Macaca mulatta: one gene and its partner. The protein of the gene in region 1 purifies or fractionates together with the protein of each later gene. This does not show direct contact. Links are inferred from orthologs where the notes say so. Each region holds a gene or a part of one and is shown in the gene's direction. Other genes may lie near its edges.

What was found.
Region 2: the proteins of PPP1R15A (region 1) and EIF2S1 purify together in Homo sapiens (affinity purification with western blotting; 4 studies listed by BioGRID and IntAct, with this or other methods). This does not show direct contact. The link is inferred for Macaca mulatta from reciprocal best matches to the Homo sapiens genes PPP1R15A and EIF2S1.

Annotation. Positions count from the first base shown.
Region 1 is NC_133424.1:61,323,270-61,338,126, forward strand, and holds PPP1R15A (protein phosphatase 1 regulatory subunit 15A), read left to right. Parts: upstream 1-6,971; 5' UTR 6,972-7,205; intron 7,206-7,776; 5' UTR 7,777-7,785; coding exon 7,786-9,579; intron 9,580-10,561; coding exon 10,562-10,921; coding exon of another isoform or gene 10,922-10,950; 3' UTR 10,951-11,002; downstream 11,003-14,857. Other genes in the region: PLEKHA4 (pleckstrin homology domain-containing family A member 4), read right to left, coding at 1,823-1,906. UniProt on the Homo sapiens protein: Recruits the serine/threonine-protein phosphatase PPP1CA to prevents excessive phosphorylation of the translation initiation factor eIF-2A/EIF2S1, thereby reversing the shut-off of protein synthesis initiated by stress-inducible kinases and facilitating recovery of cells from stress.
Region 2 is NC_133412.1:140,520,520-140,535,210, forward strand, and holds the start of EIF2S1 (eukaryotic translation initiation factor 2 subunit 1), read left to right. Parts: upstream 1-5,889; 5' UTR 5,890-5,984; exon of another isoform or gene 5,985-7,200; intron 7,201-8,979; exon of another isoform or gene 8,980-10,247; 5' UTR 10,248-10,248; coding exon 10,249-10,489; intron 10,490-14,691. Other genes in the region: ATP6V1D (V-type proton ATPase subunit D), read right to left, coding at 5,185-5,225. UniProt on the Homo sapiens protein: Member of the eIF2 complex that functions in the early steps of protein synthesis by forming a ternary complex with GTP and initiator tRNA. This complex binds to a 40S ribosomal subunit, followed by mRNA binding to form a 43S pre-initiation complex (43S PIC).

The DNA of each region.
Region 1 (14,857 bases):
TAAGTCCGGGCACACTGGCTCACGCGTGTAATCCCAACACTTTGGGAGGCCAAGACGGGCAGATCATGAGGTCAGCAGATCAAGACCATCCTGGCTAACACGGTGAAACCCCGTCTCTACTAAAAATACAAAAAAGTTAGCCAGGCATGGTGGCAGGCGCCTGTAGCCCCAGCTACTCGGGAGGCTGAGGCAGGAGAATGGTGAGAACCCGGGAGGCAGAGCTTGCAGTGAGCGGAGATCGCACCACTGCACTCCAGCCTGGGCGACAGAGCGAGACTCCATCTCAAAAAAAAAAAAAAAAAGAAAGAGAAGGGTCAAGGTGGGGGCTGAGGTTGGAGATCAGAATTGGGAGGTGTTCTTATTGCAGAGTTAAGAGACTCTTTTTTTTTTTTTTTTTTTTTTTTGAGACAGCCTCTTTGGAGTGCAATGGCCTAAACACTGCAACCATTACCTCCTGGACTCAGGTGATCCTCCAGCCTCAGCCTCCCGTATAGCTGGGACCACAGGCACGTACCACCATGCCCAGCTAATTTTTTGACTTTTTGTAGAGGAGGGGGTCTCACTTTGTTGCCCGGACTGGGAGAAACTCTTTTTTTTTTTTTTTTTCCTTTTGAGGCAGAGTCTCGCTCTGTCGCCAGGATGGAGTGCAATGGTACAATCTTGGCTCACTGCAACCTCCACCTCTCAGGTTCAAGTGATTCTCCTGCCTCAGCCTCCCGAGTAGCTGAGATTACAGGCACGTGCCACCACGCCTGGCTAATTTTTGTATTTTTACTAGAGACAGGGTTTCGCCATGTTGGTCAGGCTGGTCTCGAACTCCTGACCTCAGGTGATCCACCCGCCTCAGACTCTTAAAGTGCTGGGATTACAGCCATGAGCCACTGTGTCGGGCCGAGACTCTCTTTTTGATGGGCGGAGGGAGGTGTTCAGAGGCAAGGAAGAGGCTGTAGGGAAGCAATTTCTTGATCAAGGGTCCACTGCCAAGAAGCAGATGCCCTTGGCCACCAGAGCTAGAGCTGTAGTAGGGGCTTTTGGGATGTGAACTGGGACTATGGGCTGGGAGGTCCCCATAATCAGGGGGAACTCTCACGCTGAGTCCCCGGTGAATCAAAGGATGCCCTGGTGCCCTGCGGTCACACCCCTTAGCAACCAAGTCCAAGGAGAGGAAGCCTTAAATCCCTCCATCCTGCCCGGATGGAGCCTCGTCTCCCGATGCCCACAGATATCTCAGGCATCCTTAGCCAGGTCCCCACAATATGCCCTTCCTGGGAAGCGGTGGTACCGACCAAGGCTGAGTCAGATCTCCGGGCTCCGAACACATGAAAGGACATGTGTGGAATGGCAGGAGGAAAAAGAAATGAGTGTCTCCCTAAGCTTTTGGCCGGGATGCCGATTTGGGATGCAAGTATCCGGGGGCCCCTTGGGTCTCACCGTCAGAGAAGGGTCTTTCCTTATAGGATTTCATTAGTGGATAGACTGGATGGCAAGAGATAGGACAGCAAGTTCTAGCACTAATCAAGAGCAGCCCGCTACTTCTGAGAACTCAAGGGGCCTCATGGCTGGGGAGCGGCTTTATCTTAGCAACCAGGGTCAAGGGAGGTTGTTACTCTGGTTTAGAATTAGGAAAATACAAAGGGTGGGGACAGAGCTGGGAGTGCCTCTGAATTCCTAGCTGCGGCTGGTAGGCAATTTGGGACCTTACTGTCTGGCAGACCCTGTTGCTAAGGATCCTTGTCCTTAACAACCAGAGTCCTTGGGGAAACAGAGGGATGGGCGGCCCAGAGCCCCACCTTCCTCCCCATCCCCGCCAGGAAGCTCAAACCTTGGGGCTCAGGCTGCTGAGTGAGGAGATGGTAGAGGCGCTGCTGGCCAGGCTCAGGCTGCTTCGAGGTCGGCTCCCCTCCATCAAGGGCTGGGGAGAGAAAGAAAGGGGCTGTGTCTCCGCAGTGACGGGTGCGGGACAGAGATGGGGTCAGGGGCTCGGAGGTCTGAGGAGGCTGCAGAGAAAGAGCCTGTTGTTTCGGGACTGAGGGGCTGGGGGAGGCCATGGCCCGTGACCACATACCAAGAGTGGTGCCAAGAGAGGTAGGCGGCCCTGGCAGCTGCGGGAGGGGGCAGCTGTCTGCAGCCCAGGCCAGAGAATAGGGAATCCTTTATTCCACCCCACTGCACTCAGGCCAGGAATTTGACCCTCTCTGAGCTTAAGGACCCCCTATTCCCTGCCTCCTTCCGGCTGCCCCAGGCTACCTGTCTCCCGCCCTCCCACATGCGCCCCCAAAGCATCCCTGCCAACTCCCCAAGCCAAGCCCCGCAGCAGCAGGAATGTGCACCCAGAGAGGCCCTCCCAGCCCAGCCAGGGAACTTACCCAGCTCTAGGGTCCCAAAGACAGGGGGCAAGAGGACGGTGTGGGTGCTGCAGCGGCACCCAGGCAGTCTCCCGCCTCCTTTGTCTCTTAGCTGCTGTCTCTCATAGTTCTCAATCTCTCTCCTCACCTGCTCACTTTTTGTCTGTCTCCCGTCTCTTATGGTCTCTCTCTCTCTCTCTCTCTCTCTCTCTCTCTCTCTCTCTCTCCGTTTTACACTATCTCCCTCCCCAGTCTCACTTTCTGTGTCTCTCCTCTCTCTGATCTCTGTCTCTTCCAGTTTCTCTCTCACTCATTCTCTCCCTCTATCTCTCTCTCCAATCTTTCCGTTTCTGTCCAAATCTTTGATTGACAGACTCACAGGGTCTCTTCTTTAAGTCTCTATCTCATTCACGCGCTCTCTCTCTCTCTCTCTCTCTCTCTCTGTCATCCCGTGTCCTCTCTCCTTCACACTCAGTCTCTTCCTCTTTCTGTCTCTCTCTCTGACTCTCCACGTCTGCCGTTTCCTCCCCTTTCTCTTTCCGATTTCCCTTCTCACTTTCTCCCTTCCTCCCTCTCCCAGTTTCTCTTTCCTCTCTGCTGGTCTTTCCCTGCCTCTGCCAGCCGCCCACGCTGCTGTTCTCCCCTCCCAATCCCGGCTGTCCCCGCCCCTTCTGGCCTCCCCACTACAGCCTGACCCCTGGCTCAGCTGCCCCCACAGCTGAGGGGAGGGGCTTGGGTCCCCCAATTCCTAGGTCCCTTAAGGACCAAGGTTGGGGCTTCTCAGTGTTTGGAGAGTTGGACCTGAGGCCTGCACTCCAGAGCCCCCGTGGGTTTGCTGCTGTGGTTGGGGACCGGGGCCACTGGTGTCCTACACGGAGGAGGTTTGTGTGTTGCAAGGGGTGGGGACTCAGACTTCCAAAGCCCTGCAGGGAATGGGTTAGGGATCGAGACACCTGGGTGCCCCAGAAGGTCTGAGCTAGGAGTCAGGACTCCTGAGTCGTGAATGAGCTGGGAGTCTGGAAACATGACTGTGATTGGAAGGGGCCAGGGATAGTCTGTCCAGGTCCCCTAGGGAGAAAAGGGGATGGTCCCAGTAGGGCAGGGTGAAATGGAGAATTCCAAACCTCCACCTCAGATCCAGGTGAGAATTCTCTTCTAGACTTGAGGACAACTCCCTCAGGAGAGAGACATGGTTCCTTGGTATATTTTGAGGAACAAGATTATGCATCCATAGGTAGGGGAGGAGAGCTGGGGGCTGGAACTGTCACCCCGGGCCTGGAACTTGTAGCAGAAGCGCCCCCACTCGCATGAAGAGTGCCACCCAGGCAGACTTGTGGTTTGTGGAGGCAGAGCTATTGCCTAAGCTTGAAGCAGATGAAACCCAGGAGTGGAGCCTTTTGCCTGTGACCAGGAAGGAATCCAAGCTTTTGGTTTAACCACCATTCACCATGCATCTGTTGAGCACCTACTATGTGCAGGCACTGTCTGTTGCAGTCACTGAGAAGAAAGCAGTGAACCCTGGCCGGGCTCAATGGCTCATGCCTGTAATCCCAGCACTTTGGGAGACCAAGGCAGGAGGATCACTTGAGACCAGGAGCTCAAGACCAGCCTGGGCATCATAGTGAGACCCTGTCTCTATTTAGAAAGTGAATATTTTTTTTTTTTTTGAGACAGAGTCTAGCTCTGTTGCCAGGCTGGAGTGCAGTGGCGCGATCTCGGCTCACTACAACCTCCGCCACCTGGGTTCAAGTGATTCTCCTGCCTCAGCCTCCTGAGTAGCTGGGACTACAGGCACGTGTGACCACGCCCAACTCATTTTTTTTTCCTTTTGAGACGGAGTCTTGCTCTGTTGCCCAGGCTGGAGTGCAGTGGAAAGATGTCGGCTCACTGCAAGCTCCAACTCCCAGGTTCACACCATTCTCCTGCCTCAGCCTCCCAAGTAGCTGGGACTACAGGCGCCCGCCACCACGCCCGGCTAATTTTTTTTTTTTGCATTTTCGGTAGAGACAGAGTTTCACCGGGTTAGCCAAGATGGTCTCGATCTCCTGACCCTGTGATCCGCCTGCCTCAGCCTCCCAAAGTGCTGGGATTACAGGCATGAGCCACTGCGTCCGGCCTAATTTTTCTATTTTTAGTAGAGACAGGGTTTCACCATGCTGGCCAGGATGATCTCAATCTCGACCTCGTGATCTGCCCGCCTCAGCTTCCCAAAGTGCTGGGATTACAGGCGTGAGCCACCGCACCTGGCCTAAATTAATTATTATTTTTTTAAAAGCACTGAGCCTAGCAAAGTGCCTGATCTCATAGTGCTTACATCTTCATTCTCATTTGCAAGGAATCTGGACTCTGCTGTGACTATCTTAGTCAAGTGGTTTCATTTTCAAGCCTGTTTCCCCATTTGTGAAATGGGAACAATGACACCCTCACACTCAGGGAGGAAACCAACTGCTTGTGAAAATAGGAGACTCTAGCTGTGCATGGTGGCGAGCTCTTGTACTCCCAACTACTCGGGAGGCTGAGGCAGGAGAATTGCTTGAACCTGGGAGGTGGAGGTTGCAATGAGCCAAGATCACACCATTGCACTCCAGCCTGGGTGACAGAGCCAGACACCGTCTCGAAAAAAAGAAAGAGAGAGAGAGAGACAGAGAGAGAGAGAAAGAAAGAGAGAGAGAAAGAGAGAAAGGAAGGAAGGAAGGAGGGAAGGAGGGGGGAAAGAAAGAGAGAGAGACAGAAAGAAAAAGAAAGAAAGAAAAAGAAAGAAAGAAAGAAAGAAAAAGAAAAGAAAGAAAGGAAGGAAAGAAAGAAAGAAAGAAAGAAAGAAAGAAAAGAAAGAAAGAAAGAGAAAGAAAGAAAGAAAGAAAGAAAGAAAGAAAGAAAGAAAGAAAGAAAGAAAGAAAGAAAGAAAGAAAATGGGGGGCTGTAGGCTGGGCCTTTGGGCTAAATTGGGGTAGGAGACCAGGTACAGTGGATCATGCTTGTAATTCCAGCACTTTGGGAAGCCAAGGCGGGCAGATCACCTGAGGTCAGGAGCTCAAGACCAGCCTGGTCAACGTGGCAAAACACTGTCTCTACTAAAAATACAAAAATTACCTGGGCATTGCGGCACACTCCTGTAATCCCAGCTATTCCAGAGGCTGAGGCAGGAGAATCACTGGAACCCGGGAGGTGGAGGCTGCAGTGAGCCGAGATGGCGCCACTGAACTCCAGCCTGGGCAACAAAGTGAGACTCTGTCTCAAAAAATAAATAAATAGGTCGGGTGCAGTGGCTCACGCCTATAATCCCAACACTTTGGGAGGCCAAGGTGGGTAGATTGCCTGAGCTCAGGAGTTCAAGACCAGCCTGGGCAACATGGCGAAACCCTGTCTGTATACAAAAAATTAGCCAGGTGTGGTAGTGCATGCCTGTAATCCCAGCTACTCAGAGGCTGAGGCGGGAGAATTGCTTGAACCCAGGAGATGGAGGCTGCAGTGAGCCGATCGCACCATTGCATTCCAGCCTCAGTGACAGGGCGAGACTCTGTCTCAAAAAAATAAATAAATAACAGGCCGGGCGAGGTGGCTCACGCCTGTAATCCCAGCACTTTGGGAGGCCGAGGCGGGCGGATCACAAGGTCAGGAGATTGAGACCATCCTGGCTAACACGGTGAAAACCTGCTTCTACTAAAAATACAAAAAGTTAGCCAGGCATGGTAGCAGGGGCCTGTAGTCCCAGCTACTCGGGAGGCTGAGGCAGGAGAATGCCATGAACCCGGGAGGCAGAGCTTGTAGTGAGCCAAGATCGGGCCACTGCACTCCAGCCTGGGTGACAGAGCGAGACTCCGTCTCAAAATAATAATAATAATAAAATAAATAAATACATAGGCCTGGGGCGGTAACTCACGCCTGTAATCCCAGCACTTTGGGAGGCCGAGGCAGGCAGAACACCTGAGGTAAGGAGTTCGAGACCAGCCTGGCAAACATGGTGAAATCCCGTCTCAGAAAAATACATAAATAAATAATAAATAAATAAATAAATAGGTCGGACGCGGTGACTCACGCCTGTAATCCCAGCACTTTGGGAGGCCAAGGCGGGCAGATCCCCTGAGGTCAGGAGTTCCAGACCAGCCTGACCAACATGGAGAAGCTACATCTCTGCTCAAAAAATACAAAATTAGCCGTGCGTGGTGGCACCTGCCTGTAATCCCAGCTACTCGGGATGCTGAGGCAGGAGATTGAACCCCGGAGGCGGAAGTTGCGGTGAGCCGAGATAGCGTCATTGCATTCCAGCCTGAGCAACAAGAGCAAAACTCGCCTCAAAATAACTAACGAACCTAAATAAATAAATAAGTAAATAAATACATAAATACACAAATAAATAAATTTGGGTGGGAAGGCATTGGCCCTCAGCTAAGAGAGAACCGGCTCGCTGCTGAAGCAGGACCACGCATTTGATTGACAGTTTGCTGGTTGGGGGGGCGTGGTCACGCTCGGAAACTCCGCCGAGACGTTACAAAGGCTGGAATCTCCGCGAGAAGTCCAGTCTTTCACTTCCCACCCTTCGGGCTGTGGTCTCGAAACCCCGCCTCTCCCCGTGACGTCAGCACGCCAGGCGCTGTAGAATATAAACGCGTCGTGGCCTACGCTTGCGCTCATCGTGTTGGTTCCTGTCCAAGTTGTTGATCGTATGCAAGACGCCGCAGGACCCCGCGCCCGCTTGTCGCCACTGCGCTTGAGGCAGCCGGAGATACTCTGAGTTCCCTGGAGCCCGACGCCTGAGGGTGAGATGAACGCGCTGGCCTTCCTAATCGTCAGGACCTGTGATCGCTTCTGGCAGACCGAGCCGGCGCTCCTGCCCCCGGGGTGACGCGCAGCCCCCCACCGGTGAGTAAGGGGTCGGAACGCCTGGGTCCCCACGGGGCTGGAGACCTGGATTTAGGAAGAAGAGATTGGGACCCTGGAGTCCGGAGCCTGAGGGAGGAGGGATCTGGAAGCCAGATTCTTGGGTCCCCGTGAAGGAATCATCTAGCAAGTGGGGGGTCGGGTCAGAATGTTTGAGTCTGCAAGGGAGGAGGGTGTGAGGGTTTGATCTTCAGCAGGATGAGAGAGCTAGGGAGGGACTATGACTTTGTCGCCAAGGGAAGCAAGCAAAAGACTTTTGTTCTTGGTTCTTGGGACTGGGACTTCTGCGTCTGAAGAAAGAGGGGGCTGGGGGCTTGGACCCTTGGATCTAAGGAAGAACTAGGGGCTCAGACTCCTGGCTATTGAGAGATGAGAGAGAACAGAGCCAAGAGGCAGAGATGGGCGTGGCTGAGATCAGAAAGGAATTTGGGACTCTTGCGTTGCTGTTGACAATAGTTGTGTTACTATTTCTGTTGCTATGACTCATAGTCATGCCCGGATGCCATCCCCTAAATGGCCCCTAAACTTTATTTTTTTCCTCCCCCTTTTCCAGCCCAGACACATGGCCCCAGGCCAAGCACCCCATCAGGCTACCCCATGGAGGGATGCCCACCCTTTCTTCCTCCTGTCCCCAGTGATGGGCCTCCTCAGCCGGGCCTGGAGCCGCCTGAGGGGCCTGGGACCTCCAGAGCCCTGGCTTGTGGAGGCAGTAAAAGGAGTAGCTCTGGTAGAAGCTGGCCTGGAGGGAGAAGCCAGGACTCCTCTGGCAACCCCCCATATCCCTTGCGGCAGATGCCTTGATGAGGAGGCTGAAGACCGTGCAGGCCCTGGAGAGAACAGAGAAACACTGGGCCTGAAAACCAGCAGTTCCCTTCCTGAAGCCTGGGGACTTTTGGATGATTATGATGACATATATAGTGAGCGAGAAGCAACCAGCGTCCCTAGAGGGCAGGGAAGTCAATTTGCAGATGGCCAGCCTGCTCCCCTGTCTCCCAGCCTTCTGATAAGGACGCTGCAAGGTTCTGATAAGAACCTAGGGGAGGAGAAAGCTGAGGAAGAGGGAGTTGCTGAAGAGGAGGGAGTTAACAAGTTCTCTTATCCTCTGTCACACCGGGAGTGTTGTCCAGCAGTGGAGGAAGAGGTCGATGAAGAAGCTGTAAAGAAAGAAACTCGCAGAACCTCTACTTCTGCCTTGTCTCCAGGATCCAAGCCCAGCACTTGGGTGTCTTGCCCAGGGGAGGAAGAGAATCAAGCCACGGAGGACGAAAGAAGAATAGAAAAAAGTAAAGGAGCCAGGAAGACCTCCGTGTCCCCCCCATCTTCAGGCTCCAACCCCAGGGCCTGGGAGTATCGTTCAGGAGAGGCGTCTGAGGAGAAGGAAGAAAAGGCACACGAAGAAGCTGGGAAAGGAGAAGCTGCCCCAGGGCCACACTCCTCAGCCCCAGCCCAAAGGCCCCAGCTCAAGTCCTGGTGGTGCCAACCCAGTGATGAAGAGGAGGGTGAGGTCAAGATTTTGGGGGCAGCTGAGAAGGATGGAGAAGCTGAGTGTCCTCCCTGCATCCCCCCCTCAAGTGCCTTCCTGAAGGCCTGGGTGTATTGGCCTGGAGAGGACACGGAGGAAGAGGAAGATGGGGAAGATGAGGACAGTGACTCTGGATCAGATGAGGAAGAGGGAGAAGCTGAGGCTTCCTCTTCCACTCCTGCTACAGGTGTCTTCTTGAAGTCCTGGGTGTATCGACCAGGAGAGGACACGGAGGAGGAGGAAGATGAGGACAGTGATACAGGATCAGCTGAGGATGAAAGAGAAGCTGAGATTTCCACTTCCACACCCCCTGCAAGTGCTTTCTTGAAGGCCTGGGTGTATCGGCCAGGAGAGGACACGGAGGAGGAGGAAGATGAGGACAGTGATACAGGATCAGCTGAGGATGAAAGAGAAGCTGAAATTTCCACTTCCACACCCCCTCCAAGTGCTTTCTTGAAGTCCTGGGTGTATCGGCCAGGAGAGGACACGGAGGAGGAGGAAGATGAGGATGCGGATAGTGAGGGTAAGGAAGATGATTCAGAAGCAGCCATGGGAGAAGCTGAGTCAGACCCACATCCCTCCCACCCGGCCCAGAGTGCCCACTTCAGGGGCTGGGTATACCGACCTGGAAAGGAGACAGAGGAAGAGGAAGCTGCTGAGGACTGGGGAGAAGCTGAGCCCTGCCCCTTCCGAGTGGCCATCTATGTACCTGGAGAGAAGCCACCACCTCCCTGGACTCCTCCTAGACTGCCCCTCCGACTGCAGAGGCGGCTCAAGCGCCCAGAAACCCCTACCCATGATCTGGACCCCAAGATTCCCCTAAAGGCCAGAAAGGTGGGTGCTGAGAGCCCAGATTCTTTTTTTTTGAGACGGAGTCTCGCTGTGTCGCCCAGGCTGGCGTGCAGTGGCGCCATCACGGCTCACTGCAAGCTCCGCCTCCCGGGTTTACGCCATTCTCATGCCTCAGCCTCCCGAGTAGCTGGGACTACAGGCGCCCGCCACCTTGCCCGGCTAATTTTTGTATTTTTAGTAGAGAAGGGGTTTCACCGTGTTAGCCAAGATGGTCTCGATCTCCTGACCTCATGATCCTCCCACCTCGGCCTCCCAAAATGCTGGGATTACAGGCATGAGCCGCCGTGCCCGGCCTTTTTTTTTTTTTTTTAAAATTGAGTCTTGCACTGTCACCTAGGCTGGAGTGCAGTGGCGCGATCTTGGCTCACTGCCAACCTCTGCAGCCCGAGTTCAAGCAATTCTCGTGCCTCAGCCTCTGGAGTATCTGGGATAACAGGCACACGACACCACACCCAGCTAATTTTTTTGTATTTTTAGTAGAGATGGGGGTTTCACCATGTTGGCCAGGCTGGTCTTGAACTCCTGACCTCACGTGATCTGCCCATCTCAGCCTCCCCAAGTGCTGGGATTACAGGCATGAGCTACCACGTCTGGCCGAGAGCCCAGATTCTTGAGTCTGGGAGAGGAAGGGGCTGGAGGCTGAGACTCCAGGTCCCTGTATGTTGCAGAGGATTGCGTGTCATTTCTATGGGGAGGGCTGTGTACACTGTCACGCAATCTCTTGTAAGAGGCCAGGCCCCTGGGGGAGGAGGGAGCAGCTGTGGCTCACAGCAACCCCAGGAAACCATCTCTGCCTTCAGTGAGTCAGATGGAAAATCCCATGACAGTGACAGGCAAGTGACTAGCCAGATAGAAAGCATTTTTGTGTAATAACTAATTTTTGTTTGCTTCTCTCTCTCTCTTCCCCATCCGGATTCCCGTGGCTGTGTCCCTCTCCTGCCTGTGTCCCGGTGTCTGCCCCCAGGTGCACTTCTCCGAGAAGGTCACTGTCCATTTTCTGGCTGTCTGGGCAGGGCCGGCCCAGGCCGCCCGCCAGGGCCCCTGGGAGCAGCTTGCTCGGGATCGGAGCCGCTTTGCACGCCGTATCGCCCTGGCCCAGGAGGAGCTGAGCCCCTGCCTCACCCCTGCTGCCCGGGCCAGAGCCTGGGCACGCCTCAGGAACCCACCTTTAGCCCCCATCCCTGCCCTCACCCAGACCTTGCCTTCCTCCTCTGTCCCTTTGTCCCCAGTCCAGGCCACGCCCTTGAGCCAAGCTGTTGCCACATCCTCCCCCTCTCCTGGTGCAGCAACGGCTCCCCTGGACCTCTTTGGGAGGCGTGGCTAAGACCAACTGGTTTGCCTATAATTTATTAACTATTTTTTCTAAGTGTGGGTTTGTATAAGGAATAAAGCCTTTTGATTTGTAGCAAGCAGGGTCTGTGTGTGTGTCAGAAACGGACAGCATTCTGTTTTCACAGGTCCCCGAGGTAGCTGGGAAGAGAATAGCATAAAACAAAGCACTTCATTGGGGGATAAACTGCTTTTCCTCAAATTTGCTTCCACTCATCCTGAGGCTTTTGAACCTAACAGCTGGTGGGTTTTATAGTTTTCTTTTTCTTTTTTTTTTTGAGACTGAGTCTCGCTCTGTTGCCCAGGCTGAAGTACAATGGCGCGATCTCAGCTCACCACAACCTCTGCCTCCCGGGTTCCAGTGATTCTCCTGCCACAGCCTCCCGAGTAGCTGGGACTACAGGTGCGCGCCACCACGCCTGGCTAATTTTTGTATTTTTAGTAGAGACATGGTTTCACTATGTTGGCCAGGCTGGTCTCAAACTCCTGACCTCCTGATCCACCTGCCTTGGCCTCCCAAAATGCTGAATGACAGGCATGAGCCACCGTGCCCAGCCTATAGTTTTGTTTTGTTTTTTTTTGAGATGGAGTCTTGCTCTGTCGCCCAGCCCTGAGTGCAGTGGTGCGATCTTGGCTCACTGCAATCTCTGCCTCCTGGGTTCAAGCGATTCTCCTGTCTTAGTTTCCTGAGTAGCTGGGATTACAGGCGCGTGCCACCACGCCTGGCTAATTTTTGTATTTTTAGTAGAGACAGGGTTTCACTATGTTGATCAGGCTGGTCTCGAACTCCTGACCTCATGATCCACCCACCTTGGCCTCCCAAAGTGCTGGGATTACAGGCATGAGCCATGACGCTGGCCGTTTTTGGATTTTTTTAACCAAGGGGTAAAACACTCATGAGCATTCCTGGAAAAAGATGGAGATTTCTTAGAACTGAGGTGCCACCCATCTTTATACCAAATATGGGTGTTCCTAGGACTATCATGATGTTGGTGGGTGTGTGACTGTGTTAATGAACATACAATGAGGTCCTACGGGAAACCGAGGTCAGACCCAGCACCATATTAGGTCTAGTCGGTCTTAGTCTACTTGGCCTACAGCCTGGTTTTTTGGAATCTTATCAACCCACAGTTACTGTAGCTATTTCAAGTTTGCTGTTGCTATTCTGGTCATGTGAAACTGCTGCCTGGAATTTTCTAATCTCCTGCAACTACCCTATATGATTGCTGTCACAGCCTGATTTCACACTGATAAGCCCTGTGTCCATAGACCTAGTTTCCTTATCTGTAAGGTGACTAACAATTGTACATACCTTCTGGGATTGTAAGGCCTCAAAGGAGTTAAAACTTAAAACAATGCTCATGAAATAAATGCTATAATAGGGTAATTATTCTATATACTGTTTTTTGGTTTTTTTTTTTTTTGATATGGAGTCTCACTCTGTTGCCCAGGCTGAGGTGCCGTGGCGACATCGTGGCTCACTGCAACCTCCACCTCCCAGGTTAAAACAATTCTCCTGGCTGGGTGCGGTGGCTCACACCTGTAATCCCAACACTTTCGGAGGCCGAAGTGGGTGGATCACAAGGTCAGAAGATCGAGACTATCCTGGCTAACACAGTGAAACCCCATCTCTACCAAAAATACAAAAAAAAAAAAAAAAAAAAAAAATTAGCCCGGCATGGTGGTAGGCGAGTGCAGTACCAGCTACTCAGGAGGCTGAGGCAGGAGAATGGCGTGAACCCGGGAGGCGGAGCTTTCAGTGAGCAAGAGTCCGTCCCCTTCCCCCCACCAAAAAAAAACCCAAAAACCAAAAAACAATTCTCCTGGCTCAGTCTCTCAAGAAGCTGAGACCACAGGCGTGCACCACCACTTCCGGCTTTTTTTTTTTTTTTTTTTAGACGGAGTTTCACTCTTGTTACCCAGGCTGGAGTGCAATGGCAGATCTCGGCACACCAGCAACCTCCGCTTCCCGGGTTCAAGCGATTCTCCTGCCTCAGCCTTCTTTTTTTTTTTTTTTTTTTTTGAGACGGAGTCTCACTCTGTCGCCCAGGCTGGAGTGCAGTGGCCGCATCTCAGCTCACTGCAAGCTCCGCCTCCTGGGTTCACGCCATTCTCCTGTCTCAGCCTCCTGAGTAGCTGGGACTACAGGCGCCCGCCACCTCGCCCGGCTAGTTTTTTTTGTATTTTTTAGTAGAGACGGGGTTTCACCTTGTTAGCCAGGATGGTCTGGATCTCCTGACCTCATGATCCGCCCGTCTCGGCCTCCCAAAGAGCTGGGATTACAGGCTTGCGCCACCGCGCCCGGCCCTGCCTCAGCCTTCTGAGTAGTTGGGATTACAGGTGTGAGCCAACACGCCCAGCTAATTTTTGTATTTTTAGTAGAGAAGGAGTTTCACCATGTCGGTGGTCAGGAGTTTGAGACTCCTGACCCCGTGATCCACCCGCCTTGGTCTCCCAAAGTGCTGGGATTACAGGCACGAGCCACTATGCCCACCTCTACCTCTAATTTTTATTCTTATTTATTTATTTATTTTTTGAGACCAAGTCTCGCTGTGTCATCCAGGCTGGAGTGCAGTGGCGTGATTTCAGCTCACTGCAATCCTCTGGGTTCAAGCAGTTCTGCCTCAGCCTCCCTAGTACCTGGGATTACAGGTGTGAGCTACCACGCAGGGCTAATTTTTGTATTACTCTTCCTCTAGACCTTCACAGAACGCAGGTTCCTCTCATCCTCCTAACCTAATGGCCTTTCATTAGCTTCACAAAAGCAGCTTAGTTCTGGGAAGGGTTATTATCATTTAAATTAGAAATCCCAGCACTTTGGGTGGGCTGAGGTGGATGGCTCACTTGAGATCAGGTGTTTGTTTTGAGAGGGAGTCTTGCTCTGTCTCTCAGGCTGGAGTGCAATGGTGCGATCTTGGCTCACTGCAACCTCCGCCTCCCGGGTTCCAGCGATTCTCCTGCCTCAGCCTCCTGAACAGCTGGGATTATGGGGCCCACCACCACGCACGGCTAATTTTTGTATTTTTAGTAGAGACGGAGTTTCACCATGTTGGTCAGGCTGGTCCCTAACTCGAGGTCAGGAGTTTGAGATCCCCACTCCTGCCATATAATCTTTTCATTTCCCCAAGGCAACCAAACCTAATTCCACCTAATTTAAAACCTTTGTATGAGTGCTACCTGCTGCCTGAGGATCCCAACCCTGAGCCTTCTTGCTCAGCTAGTTCCTCCTGATTCTTCCGATGTAGTGTGAAAATTCCTTTTTTTTTTTTTTTTTTGAGACGGAGTCTCGCTCTGCCGCCCAGGCTGGAGTGCAGTGGCGTGATCTCGGCTCACTGCAAGCTCCGCCTCCCGGGTTCACGCCATTCTCCTGCCTCAGCTTCTCGAGTAGCTGAGACTACACACGCCCGCCACCACGCCCAGCTATTTTTTTTGTATTTTTAGTAGAGAGGGGGTTTCACTGTGTTAGCCAAGATGGTCTCAATCTCCTGACCTCGTGATCCGCCCGCCTCAGCCTCTCAAAGTGCTGGGATTACAGGCGTGAGCCACCGCACCCGGCCTTTATTTTATTTTATTTTATTTTTTTGAGATAGAGTCACATTCTCTTGCCCAGGCTAGAGTGCAGTGGCACTATTTCGGCTCACTGCAACCTCCGCTTCCCAGGTTCAAGCAATTCTCATGCCTCAGCCACCAGAGTAGCTGGGATTACAGGCATGCACCACCAGCTAATTTTTGTATTTTTAGTAGAGATGGGGTTTTGCTATATTGGCAAGGCTGGTCTTGAACTCCTGACCTCAGGTGATCCTTCCACCTCAACCTCCTAAAGTGTTGGGATTCCAGGTGTGAGCCACCATGCCCGGCATTTTTTTTTTTTTTTTTTTTTGAGACAGAGTCTGACTGGAGTGAAGTGGAGCTATCGGCTCACTGCAGCCTC
Region 2 (14,691 bases), on another chromosome or scaffold:
CCCACATGTGTACAAAAACATGTGCAAGGTTTAAAAGATGGGTACTCCAGCATTATGGTAATAGCAAAAGGGAGAAACAAGCTAAATGCTAAATACATCATAGTTCACCTACCATGGAATGATATACAGTCATTAAAAAAGACGAAGGTATATAGGCATGTGCTGTCTATATTACAGTCTTATGCAAAGTAAGGAAAAAATGTGCTTATATAGATGCAGAGAATAGTTCTAGAAAGGATTCAGAAAAACTGGCAAGAGTTACCTTTGATAAATGGGACTGGATGAAAAATATGGATTTACTTTTTACTACTATATTCTTTTGTACATTTTGCATTTTATTTTATTTTTATTTTATTATTATTATTTTTTTTTTCAGGCGGAGTTTCGCTCTTGTTGCCCAGGCTGGAGGGTGCAATGGCGGGATCTCGGCTCACAAAACCTCCGCCTCCTGGGTTCAAGCGATTCTCCTGCCTCAGCATCCCGAGTAGCTGGGATTACAGGCATGTGCCACCATGCCCGGCTAATTTTGTGTTTTTAGTAGAGACGGGGTTTCTCCAAGTTGGTCAGGCTGGTATCGAACTCCTGACCTCAGGTGATCCGCCCACCTTGGCCTCCCAAAGTGCTGGGATTACAGGTATGAGCCACTGCACCTGGCCTGCATTTTTTATACCACAATAATTTACCACATTTTCTATTAAAAGTGTGGTATTAACATGTTTTGATATCATCAAGATCCTAACACCAATCATTTTATTAATTTGTAAAAGACTCTAGGTAATAAATGACATATATAAGATTCCTGAGAAGTGACAAGCTAAATTTACACTGAAGTCTCCTCACTTCCTTGTTTCAATTTTTTTCCCCATCAGAAGCCCCAATACCAAAGTCAAGCAGAAACTGACATTTCTGTTCTTGCTGCCATATGCCAGATAAAATTTAATAATGAAAAAAAGTAGAGCCCAGTTTGAGGCTGTAGAGTAAGACCCTGTCTCAAAAAAAAAAAAAAGAAAGAAAGAAAAGAAAAAAAATGTCATGCCATGCAGTAGCACATGCTACAATAAAATTAAAATAAGGAATTGTGAGAGAAGCAAACATGGTGTTCACTTTAGATTGGGTGATCAGGAACAGCCTCTCTTAAGAGACTAGAATAGCCAAAGGAGCAATTTATAAGTTCTGGGGAAAGAATATTTCAGGCAGGAAAAAGAGCTAATGAAAAGTACCTGGAGGACCTTAGGAAGAATGCTCTAAATAAGGTAAGCGGTACAGTGGCTTATGCCTGTAATCAGCACTTTGGGAGGCTGAGGTGGGTAGATTGCTTGAGTCCAGGAGTTCAAGGCCAGCCTGGGCAACATGGTGAAACCTGTCTCTACAAAAAAAAAATACCAAAATTACCTGGGCATGGTAGGGCACACCTGTAGTCCCAGATACAAAGAAGACTGAGGTGAGAGGACTGATTGAGCCCAGAAGGTCTAGGCTGCAGTGAGCTCTGATCATGCCACTGCACTGTAGCCTGGACAACAGAGCAAGACTCGGTCTCAAAAAAACAAGTGTTTGGGTAATAAAATTCAACAACAGATTGTATAACCTAGACACAGTATAACCTAACCTAGACAAAGTGATTTAAGGGGATATATTTTCATACGACTGGTGTTTTAAAATCGCATGTACTAATAAACCAGGTGCAGTGGCTCACACCTATAATACCAACACTTTGGGAGGCCGAGGCAGGTGGATAACTTGAGGTCAGGAGTTTGAGACCAGCCTGGCCAACACAGTGAAACCCCATCTCTACCAAACAAATACAAAAATTAGCCGGGTATGGTGCCGCATCCCTGTGGTCCCGGCTACTTGGGAGTCTGAGGCACAAAAATCACTTGAACCCGGCAGGCAGAGGTTGCAGCAAGCCAAGATCAAGTCACTGCACTCCAGCCTGGGTGACAGAGTGAAATCCTGTCTCAAAACAACAACAACAACACACACACACACACACACACACACACACACACACACCCCATTTGGCCAAATTCTTAGATTATACTGGAATCTTTTACCATAGGGCTAAGATCACTAAGACAATTCTATAGCTGAAAGGGACTTTAGACATTAACTTAAAGATTAGAAAAATGAGGCTTAGAAAAGTAAAACAACTTTCTCAAAGTTACTTAGTGAAGAAAAGGCAGGGCAGGAACCTGAACCAGACTTTTGATTCCACTGACTTTCCCAATGCTCAAACTAAGGCTCCAACCTAGGTTCACTGTACCCCAACCGTGTGCCTCCCCTTAAAGACAACAATTATCACTGGCTCACTCTGCACTGACTGGCCTCACAAGAGATCTTATCAAGTGAAGCTGGTTTAGTTTCCAGCCTGAGCAGGAGCTATCCAGCCCAATGTGTGCATTTAACATACTGTATTGTTGACAGTAAATACTAGAACTCGGGCTCAAAGAGCTGGATCAAATTTAAGTCAAATTGTAGTACTGCATATAGCAGTCAGTTTATAGTAAAAGGTAAACTGGTTGATAAAATTGAATTTACCATGTTAATTTTAATTTCCTCCTAGGGAATGGTATCTCTGTGAAATGGGCAATTTTAATTCCTGAAACTCTAAGGGCAGCTTGCACACTGACAGCTAATATGTAGCAGAACCTGGATTTAATGGACTTCTGTTGACTCCAAATTTTTCATGCGTCTTCTACTTCCACTCTAAAATTGTTTTGCTTTCTGTGGTACCAAAGTGGGTGAAAGTAACATCACAGAATAATACTGTTGTTGAAAGGAACTGTCTGTGAAACAGGCTGCCAATGTTTTCTAGCCTATGGCTTTTAAAACTTGCTCCTTTGTTTCAGAGCTGCTCAGTCCTACTCAAACAGTTTGACCTTTAGCTAGGATGATGACTTTTCTTCCAGCTGAATCAAAGACATCTGACTACATGACAAAAAGCCTGCTGCCAGCCATGGGGAAAATATTTAGAGATTATTTCCTGCACCTGATTTTCCTCTCAATCAGCAAGCTGAGAGCTTTCAAATAGTAGTTTTCACCTTCATGAGCCTATTATTTTTCTTACCTAAGCCCAAAGACGTCTATTTTTGCCTCTTAGTCTCAAAGTAAAAGTTCCAAAGTAAAAACAAAAAGTTATTCTGACTGCTGTCAAAGATAAACACAGCCAGACATTCGTTAAAGCAATGAAAACAGATTTTATTCAGTAAACCACTGATAGCAGGGGAAAGAGCTGAGCTCAATTCTGGTTTGTGCAGAGTGACTGTCCATTTTAAAAAGAAAGTAAGGGAGTGGCAGGAAGCCAGCCACAAGTAGAGTCAGAGAAGAGAAACTTAAAGGGTTGGTCAGTGTAAACGCAATGCTACCTGGCAATTAGTAAGTTATTGTTCTATCCTCCCACACAGACTGGGAGACAAAGGCCCTATCCCTCCTGATGATTACATTTCAAAGAAATGGCTCTCTAAGATACTTGAAGGGACACCAGAGTTGGAAGAGATAACATATTCACAATTGTAAGCCTGTTTTTCGTAAATGCTCTAAAAAAGGAAGGACAGGTCAATTAGGTGTTGACTAGAACAAACAGTAAATTCTCCTCCTAGCTTTGAGCTTTTTCAGGCAGGCATTTTAATGGGGGGGGGCTGGGGTCACCCTTGGGGCAGGTTTTACGCTGCTAGAAGATAAACTAGCGTCGGTGTCTCTCAGTGCGTAAGTTTTGACTGAGTCATCACGTGCTAGGAGTTCTGCAGTTGCCACTAACCCGGGATAGTCCCCATCTTTATTTCCCCACAACTAGCTTGCTGCCTACTTAGTGCGAACAGCTATTAGAAAGTCAATAGGTGAAGGTAAAAAATTTAAAAACTTCATTTCATTAAGAGCTATGTAGTCACCCTGGCAGAGACAAATCTGGGCTTCAGGTTTGAATGTGACTTTTATTTTAAGCGTCCTCAGATTCTCTCAGAGAAAGGACAGAAAGAGGAAAAACAACAAAACACCCCCACAGAGATAGGACCACAATAAAAGGATCTAAATGTCAGGGTTAAAACTGATTTTCTGCTTCCTCACTGTAAAGAAAAAGGGAAAGCCAGGCGCGGTGGCTCCCACCTATAATCCCAGCCGCCAGGGAGGCTGAGGCGGGAGGATCGCTTGAGCCCAGGAGTTTGAGGCTGCAGTGAGCTATGATCACACCACTGCACTTCAGCCTGGGAGACAGAGCGAGACCCTGTCTCTTATTAAAACAAACAACAAACTAAATAAATAAAAATAAACAGGATGAGGAGGAGAAAGGGAGCGAGTTGTTGGGCACATTTGAGAAAACGTCAAAATTTTCTTTACAAACTAGCCAAAAACCTACAGTGATATGCCACTTTCCTGACAAAGAATTCAGGCCCCAAAAGAAAGGTAGCCCACAACTGAGCGTATTCCCAAGCATGAGTTCTTTCAAGAAATATTTTTTTGTGGACCTTCTATGGATTGTTAAGACATTCTTTCCTCCTGGAGAGAGCCCACAGTCTAGTGGGAGAGAAAGACACATAAACAAATATCTACTTTACAATGTGATGACTGGTATTAACACAGGTCTTAACAAGGTGCAGCGGTGAGAGAGCAAAAGCTGTGCCTCAGAAACACAGGGATATCCTCTCACAGCCGGTGACATTTGGTGGGATCTTGGAAAATGAGTAAGGGGATCCAAGATCGAATCCGAGGACTATGCTAAGGCGATTCGATTCCATCCCCACTTTGGCTTAGGGACCTCTTCTATATCCTCAGTAAACGTCCCTTCTCAGAGCATTTATTAAAACCTCCTTGGCCTTTCCAGACGAATGTCTGGCTACATAAACTGTGAGCTCTGTGAGGGCAGAGGTGGCGACGGTTCAGTTATATAAATCCAGTGCCCGGCTCAGTAAGGGTATGTGGAATGGATGAATCCATTAATGAATAAAGACAGCGGGCCTCCACAAAAGCCCGCCGGCCGGGCGCCTTTTCCTACCCGCTGGGATCGCTTCATCCAGCCTGATTCACTCAGGAGGAATGTGCGAAGAGGCCGTCACGAAGCTTCGCCCTAGACTCAAGAAAAGAGCCTGGGAAAAGCTCAAGAAACAAGGACCCTCACTGTGGCCCAGGGTCTGAAGGGATCGCGCTCTGGGTTCCTAACCCTGTGAAAGCGGCTCATCCCATTCCTTTACTTACATTCTCGAGGGAAAGATTTCAATTCGGTCTTTGCCCGACATTCTGACGATAACTGTTCGGCTCGGGTCCCCGGCCGGGCAACCGAGGCTACAACAGCTCCAGAACTGGCCTCCACAGTGACTTCCTCTACAGGAGTCAGCTGGTTGTGTCACTTGACCCCCTCTCGTTGCTAAGAAGCAGCAGGGACACCCATTTTCACTTCCGCTTCCGGTTGTCAAGAGGAGGAAGGGGGAGGACAGAACAGAGGCGTTGCCCGGATGTCTAGGCGCGCGCACCGCGGAACCATCCCTCAATTCCGGTTCGCCTCCCAACCCCTCCCCATCCAGCTTCCCTGAGGCTGCGCAATACGCGGCACGTGCCAGGCCAAAGACTAGGAGCGAAGCGTGCACGCCTTGTTTCTCTCCACCTGTCGTCTCTGGTCACAGCGCCATCTCATGGTTAGCTGAAACTGTGAACGAGGATACATTCTTCAGGGGCAAGGAATCAGAGTCCTATGTCTTTCTCGCGCCTTGAATGTTACTTAGCTAAAGCTAAGATAGCGAGAAACCGTACTTTTCGGGTCCTTCCATGATCTACATTCGTCCTTGTTCTCGGAGGACCCAGACTCTATGGTTAATGATGAAGAGGGGTCTCTATTCGTTCAACGCTTGCGCAATACGAGGAGGTTCCGCATGCGCAGTCGGGTGACCGAAGCGCACGCTGAGGAGGATCGGCGGCCGGTGAGGGAGAAGCAAGTCTGGTCTCTCTGATTAAAGAAGGCGGCTGTGGTCTCCACTGCGGGAATCACACACATACCTCAGGTGACTAATCCCAAGCTCGGTTTCTCCAAGAACTCACTTTGGTTTGTGTCCAGTGACATGGGTGTTCGAGAGCGGGTAGGCCCCGGGCTAACACCTCCCTTTCCCGTCCCTGCGCGGGAAGTGGCTGGACAGCACCGCCGCCACCCGCGCTGTCGTGGGCCTCGTCGCCGGCTCCGTGTAGGTCATCCTGTGTTCCAGAGGCGTCGTTGTTCCAGCAGAGGAATCTCGTAAAGGAAAGTGGGCCGAGTGGATTGTACAGCCTCTACAATATGCCGAAAGTGAGAATGCCTTGACGATGGGGCGGCCTCGGGAGAACGTCGTGACACCCTAACTCTTACCCCCAGCTCAGGACGCTGAGCAGTTTGCTTTTTCCAGGTCTGAGAATTCCATCTTTTCTTCCGCCCCAACAGTTCTACCGAAATTTCCCCCTGCTTCTCAGTGGAAACCAAACTGGACTCTTACCTGAGAAACGTGTGGGACGGGCACCGTGTTGGAAAGAGCGGGGTCCGAGTAGTTTTTCATCTGATAATTGAATGAGTCACCCTTTGAATCAAAACTAAATGAGACTTGAGTTTATTACTGTTACTATCAGTTTGTTTTATGTTGGCGACAATGAGAATAGAACTGTGTTAAGCATATGTTAGGTTAACTATGCTAAGCATAACAGAAAACCTAAGATAAGGAAATATTTTCGGGTTAAATACACAGTCATCCCTGGGTCTCTTTATCCACAAAATTTAGGCTTTTAAAATTTTTATTAAGCAAAAGACATGGTTTTTTCGAGAAAAAGTATAGCAGAGAAGTGTATATTTTCTCTCAATTGAGTTGTTATTCAAGGAAAAATCTCTGGGTCAGTAGTTTGGGGATGACTTATACCGAACTTTACTACCTATTCTCAGTTCATCTGGTGCCAAAAGATGTAGTTGTCTCATGCACAGTAATGTTTATAGAGATTTGGTGATAACTTTCTTTTTCAACTATAATGATGAAATAAAAGCTTTACTTATGTAGCACTCCTATACCAAGAACTACCATTCAGAGAGCATTCCTAATACGTGTTAGATCCAAATTAGAATTATCACGAGAGTTGTCCCCATCACATGTATTTTGGAAAGGAATGTGAACTTCTATATCCATTATAGCAGTTTGACCATGCACTGTTTTGAGAAAGAAGTTCTACCTACCATTTGTCCTGCAAAATAACTGACTAGCCAGGGTATTTGAAATTAGCCCGGAGTTTGGTTGATATATTTTGAAAGGTGGCTGATACTTTTACATCAGAACACATAAGAGTATTATAATGTGTTGTGATATTGAGGTTCTGTGGGTTAAAGACATTCTGGATTTGATGTCGATTATCTTAAGAAAGTATTATAATTTAGTATTTCTGTTCCTCCTTTTTCTGTTCATTGCTTCACTGTGCTCCTTTCATAGTACTTCATATTGTAATCATTTGCTTGCTAGTTTGTTTCCCACTCTATACTTAACTTAGGTAAGAGTCTTTTTTTTTTTTTTTTTTTTTTTTTTGAGACAGAGCCTCTGTTGCCCAGGCTGGAGTGTAGTGGCACGATCTCAGCTCACTGTAGCCTCTGCCCCTGGGTTCAAGGGATTCTCCTGCCTCAGCCACCATAGTAGTGGGATTACAGGTGCCTACCACCACACCCAGCTAATTTTTGTATTTTTAGTAGAAATGGGGTTTCACCATGTTGACCAGGCTGGCCTCAAACTCCTGGCCTCAGGTGATCCACCCACCTCAGCCTCCCAAAGTGCTGGGATTACAGGTGTGAGCCACCGCGCCTGGCCTGGTAAGAGTCTTGTTGACACTTCTTGAGGACCAAATAAAATAAGTCAGAATGCTGTGAAAAAGATAAAGAGATGAAGTCACCTAGTGTGACTTCGATATTGCCAAATGTTTTTTTAAGTAAAAAAAAAATAATAAGTTATTAGCATTTCATTAGGCAGTATGTTGAAAGTTTATCAACCAATATGCAGGTTTTTGTGGTATGGATTCTTTTTGTACTTAACTTCCTGTCTTTGCTATGAATAACTTAACCATCAACAGTATTCCTTTACTTACCCTTTATGTTGCAAAGAGACTTGTGCCTCCTGAAGAAATAGTATTCATAGTCATATCCCTTCAGGATTCTTTTACACGATTGCCCGTGTTTTTTAACCATCAGATTAAGCCTTGCTTCCCCTAAAAGCGTCACCTTTACTATTTGGAGAAACTTGGTAAGTAAATATGGTTTTCACCTGTTAAATGTCTTAAAACTGTTCCGTACATTTCTGTAACATAGTTTATTTTGATGCCCAATTTGAAACTTTTTAGCTCTCAAATTTGAGAACTTTACATGCACATATTCAACAACAGTTTCCCCACCACCCCCACCCCCACCCCTGAAAAGCCCTGTTTAAAAATGAAACAACCAGTCAGCTGTTTCTTGGTGGGTAGTTCTGGCCATTGAATGTCTACTTATCTTTGTTTGCTAAATCCCTATTTTGTAGGGATTTTGTATTCCCTACAAAGAAATACATCTCTGCTACTGTCATTAATATGCTGCTTTTTGTTGTTAAACCAATGAGTACTAATAGTTTGCACTTATTGGTGTCACATACTCTAGCACTGAATATATATATATATATATATTCATGTTGCTTTTAAAGTAAAATGTTTCTAATTGTAATATGTTTATGAATAGTTTTGAGAGAATATAGTCTTACTGATAAAGAGGACAGACTCTGGGCCGGGTGCGGTAGCTCAAGCCTGTAATCCCAGCACTTTGGGGGGCCGAGACAGGCAGATCACGAGGTCAGGAGGTCGAGACCATCCTGGCTAACACGGCGAAACCCCATCTCTGCTAAAAATACAAAAAACTAGCCGGGCGTGGTGGCGGGCGCCTGTAGTCCCAGCTACTCCAGAGGCTGAGGCAAGAGAATGGCATAAACTCGAGAGGCAGAGCTTTCAGTGAGCTGAGATCAGGCCACTGCACTCCAGCCTGGGCGACAGAGCCAGACTCTGTCTCAAAAAAAAAAAAGAGGACAGACTCTGGATCCAAACTTCCTGGATTCAAATCCTGACTCATCACTTGTTAGCAGTATGTGAAAGAACAAGTAACTTAACCTGTGCTTCACTTTTTTAATCTAGAAAATGGGGAGAACTAGGGAGAAAGTTGTACCACAAGGAGATAGGCAGTGACCAGATCATATAGGATTCTGTAGGTAGTGAAAACATATATAAGTCAGTAGCAAGCCACTGGGAAGATATAGGCAGGTGCCAATTAATAAGTTATTAAATTAATTTTCACAAAGTTTTCTTAGGCCTTTAAGTTATGTTACTACTTAAGTTTTGAGCAGTGACAACAGTGAAGGTTAACAGAAAAACATGGAAATCATCAGCCATGATTAGTTTGAGAGCTTCCTTTTTAAATGTGCTTCTACCCAGATTATGATTTCAGGCTTGTGGATCATAGAAGGAGTAGTGCTGAAAGTAGGTTGGGTGGATCAAAGGGAATAATTGTAAATATCTTTAATGCTTGGAGGTTAAGAGAAACTTTAACTTTGTAGTAATGGAGATTAAAGCTATTCTCAAGATTAAGTATACCTATTCAATAAAAGAAAGGAATATTTGGGAGTATTGGGGATAAGAGAAGCTAGACATTGTGAATTCAAGGAAAAAAAATTATGAGAGGAGGAGGATGAATTTTAGTTTATTTTGTGATTAAGATTTTTTTAGTTTTTGTTGCTTTGACATGTGACGCTAATTTGGGCTATAATAAATGACAATATATCATATGGTATATTGGTTAAGATTTAGGTAGAAAATCTTTCCTTTATATAGTGAGTGGTAGCATATACAATGTTTGCTAACTTCAGCGAAGAGTAGCTTTAGTTTTCTGATTAGTTATAATAGTGATGCTTCCCATCATTTGATATGCCTTAAAGTAGTATTTTACTCTTGAGGTATTCCTTTAATCCTTAGGTCTTGGAGTACTTTATAGATGGTCATTATTTTTTATGATTCCTCTGAAACTAATGGCAGAGAATCACCCAAGCATTACAAAAATGTTGAGCAAAGTAAAAATTAAAGCTTGGTTCCTGAACATTATCTGTTTTCTGGTACCACTTAAGTTTCAAAGGATGAGAAGACTAAGACTAATAACTATTTTTTTCTTCATCTTTTCTTTCAGTGGCAAGATGTGGAAATTGATTTTTTTTTTTTCATCTTAACTGAACACTTATTTAATTCTTTTGTTTAAATTGCAGAATGCCGGGTCTAAGTTGTAGATTTTATCAACACAAATTTCCTGAGGTGGAAGATGTAGTGATGGTGAATGTCAGATCCATTGCTGAAATGGGGGCTTATGTCAGCTTGCTGGAATACAACAACATTGAAGGCATGATTCTTCTTAGTGAATTATCCAGAAGGCGTATCCGTTCTATCAACAAACTCATCCGAATTGGCAGGAATGAGTGTGTGGTTGTCATTAGGGTGGACAAAGAAAAAGGTAAGTGAGAAAAATATCTGTAATATAAATTTCAGATTTAAAATGGTTTAAAAATACATTTTTTGTAAATTGCATGCGGCAGCTTAGGGAAAAAAAGCTCTTTTTATACTTAAACCTCTTACATACAAAGTGGTTAGAAAACCATGTCAATTAGCTATTTAAACAAGATCTCTTAAGTTAATAGTAGTTTAATTAGTACATCCTAGGATTTTATGGATCAAATAACTTGAATTTTATTTCTAGTGTTTATCAGGATTTTGGTAATTGAATCATGGTAACTAAACTTAAAGAGAGTACTAGTTCATTTACATTGGTAGATCTGAATATGTTGGATGCCTTTTTTCTTGATTTAAAGCTAAAGTAGTAATGAGATCTTTGGGTAAGCATGAAAATGGGGCAGATGGGTTTTACGAATCTTTTATATAAGCCTTGAAGAAGCAATATACTATGTGTGTATATACACACCTGAAATCTAACATTGTATATCTTGCTGGTAATTAGAATGTTTGTGTCTACCAAATCCTGTGGTATCTTTCAGACAGTTTTGAATGACTATCCATTTTTTACTTATTGGATTCCTTTTCTGGACCCCATGTAAATCATCACCTTTGTGAATACTGTTTTTTAAAACATGGTATACAATACCATTAAGTAGGTTTTAATTTCAGCCATCTTACTTTAATTTGTTAGGTGTTAGTTTTAGGTCATTAGTTACTATCATGTCTGAAGGGCTGCATATCAGTCACCTTGATTCAACTTATCCTTCTGAATCTCCTTAGCTGTCTAGTTTACTGATACTTTCTCACTTCTGCAAGTGATTAATTTTATACATACTGACTTTTTTTTTATTATTATTATAGCCTTAGATGATACATAAATTTTGAGGTTATCTTATGCCTTAGGTAGTGACTGCTACTTAGCACATGGATTGTTTTAAATGTTTTGCTGTGACTTAGCTATAGCCCCACCCAAAATTATTAAACTACTTTGAGACTATTTGTTAAACTTACGTAAGTCTTCACATCACTGTCCTAGTAGTACGTAAAATAGTGTCTAATCTTGTACTTCGGTTTTTTTTTTTTTTTTTTTTTTAAGAGTTGGGATCTTGCTCTGTCACCCAGGCTGCAGTGTAGTAGTGTGATCATAGGTCGCTGCAGCCTTGAACTCTGTTCAAGTGTTCCTCAAGCAGTCCTCCCAAGTAGCTGGAACTATATGCATGTGCCACCCTGCCCAGCTAACTTTCTTTGTAGAGATGGGGTCTCACTATGTTGCCCAGGCTAGTCTTGAACTGGGCTCAAGTGATCCTCCTGCCTTGGCCTCACAAAGTACTGGGATTACAGGTGTGAGCCACTGTGCTCAGCCTTCTTTTTCTATTGTATGAAATATATACAAAAGGAGGAATCAAATATGTTTTTAGTTGCAATCAGAAAAAATATGGAATGGCATACTTGCTTACATACAGTAGATACATGTAAAGCTATTTCCATAGCATTTGTTTGTATGGCATTAACTAAAACCAGGAAATGACCAAAATGGGGACTGGTTAAATAAATCAGTACAAATGCATGCAATGCAATTTTATGCAGAATGAGATCTGAATATTCTGTATTCTGATATGGAAGATCTCTACGATAGGATGAGGAAAAGAGCAAAGTGCAAAACAGCCTGTAGAGATAATTCATTTTACTAGAGAATTAGGTCCTGCTAGATAAGCCTTTCGACGTAAATGCCATAAACCCTGAACAAGTATGAAAAATAACTACCTAAAGACAATGAGAAGCAGCCAAAAGCAGGCCAAACTTGAAAATTTGAAGGTGAGTCGACACTTACAAGAAAGGATATGTTGGCCGGGCATGGTGGGTCAAGCCTGTAATCCCAGCACTTTGGGAGGCTGAGACGGGCGGATCACAAGGTCAGGAGATCGAGACCATCCTGGCTAACATGGTGAAACCCCATCTCTACTAAAAATACAAAAAAACTAGCCGGGCACGGTGGCGGGCACCTGTAGTCCCAGCTACTCGGGAGACTGAGGCAGGAGAATGGCGTAAACCCGGGAGGCGGAACTTGCAGTGAGCTGAGATCCGGCCTGGGTGACAGAGCGAGACTCCGTCTCAACAAAAAAAAAAAAAAAAAAAAAAAAAAAAGGATATGTTTTCTGTTTTACACCTTTTTTTTTTTTTTTACCTAAGTACATGTTGAAGACAGCTTCAAGCTGGGCATTTAAGGTTCTGGCGGAAAACTTATGGTCTTATTGGCTTTAGAACTGGAGGCGAGAGTTCTTGACAACCATAGTAGATGGAAACTGGTGGTGGTAGTGGTGAGGGTTAGAGAAAGGAGGCAGGCACAAGGGGAGAGCCCCTAAGTCTGTGTATAAATTCTTCCCAAATCTCTGGTTTATCCCCGAACTACTGAAACACAGGGTGAACTCCAAGTAGCCTAATAAGGAAAAAATCTGAACAGATTTCAGTTGCTTACCATCTGGGGAGACAGAGCGTATAGTTTTGAGTTCAGATGCTGACTGCCTGCTAAAACAAAAAATCTGTAATCTTTTTTTTTGAGGGGGGAGAAGGGTAGGGGATGGAGTCCCGCTGTGTCGCCAGACTAGAGTGCGGTGGTGCGATCTCAGCTCACCGCAACCTCCGACTCCCTGGTTCAAGTGATTCTCCTGCCTTAGCCTCCGGAGTTGCTGGGACTACAGGCACGCACCAGCATGCGCAGTTAATTTTTTTGTTTTTGGTAGAGATGGGGTTTTACCATGTTGGCCAGGATGGTCTTGATCTCCTGACCTTGTGTTCTACCCGCCTTGACCTCCCAAAGTGCTGAGATTACAGGCATGAGCCACCACCCCCAGCCAAAATCTATTCTGAAGAGGAACATACAGGAATCCAGAGTCTTTGCCACAGGTCCAGGATACAATGCAAAATTGCTAACTATACAAATAAATAGGAAAATATGACTCATACAGAAGAGAAAAGCAACCAATGGAGACTGACCCAGAGATGATCCAGGGGTTGGGACTACTAGACATGGATTTTAAGGCAGACATTATAAACTGCTCAAGCACATTAAGGAAATATGCTTGTAAAGAATGAACAAGGCCGGGCACGGTGACTCACGCCTGTAATCCCAGCACTGTGGGAGGCCGAGGCGGGCGGATCACGAGGTCAGGAGATCAAGACCATCCTGGCTAACACGGTGAAACCCCGTCTCTACTAAAAATACAAAAAATTAGCCAGGCGTGGTGGCGGGCGCCTGTAGTCCCGGCTACTTGGAGAATGGCAGGAACCCGGGAGGCAGAGCTTACAGTGAGCCGAGATCGCGCCACTGCACTCCAGCCTGGGCAACAGAGTGAGACTCTGTCTCAAAAAAAAAAAAGAATGTACAAAGTGAAATCTCAGAGAAAATAGAAACTTCCACAAAGAACCACAGCCAAGTGTCACTTAATGACACGAATACATTCTGAGATAACGTATCATTAGGCAATTTTGTTGTGCAAGCTTCATAGAGTCTACTTAAACCTAGATGTGTAGCCTACTACACACCTAGGCTATATGGTATAGCCTATTGCTCCTAAGCTACAAACCTGTACAGCCTGTTACTGTATTGAATACTGTTGGCAGTTGACACAAAGGTATTTGTGTATCTAAACACAGAATACACAAAGGGTACAGTAAAAATACAGTAGAAAAGATAAAAAAATAGTATACCTATATAGGGCACATACCGTGAATGGAGTTTGCAGGACTGAAAGTTGCTCTGGGTGAGTTAGTGAGTAAATGATGAGCAGGTGTGAAGGCCTAGGACATTACACTACTGTAGACTTTAGAAACACTGTACACTTAAGTAACACTAAATTGATAAAAACTAAATGCGCTACATCACTAGGCAATAGGAATTTTGCAACTCCATTATAGTCTTATGGAACCACCATTGTATATGCAGTTCAGTGTTCAACAAAATATCATTATGCAGTGCATGACTAAATATAAATTCTAAGGCCAGGCACGGTGGCTCATGCCTGTAATCCCAGCACAGTACTTTGGGAGGCCAAGGCGGGTGGATCACTTGAGATCAAGAGTTCAAGACCAGCCTGGCCGACATGGCAAAAACCCATCTCTATCAAAAGTAAAAAAATTAGCCGGGTGTGGTGGCATGCACCTGTAATCCCAGCTACCTGGGAGTGTGAGGCAGGAGAATCGCTT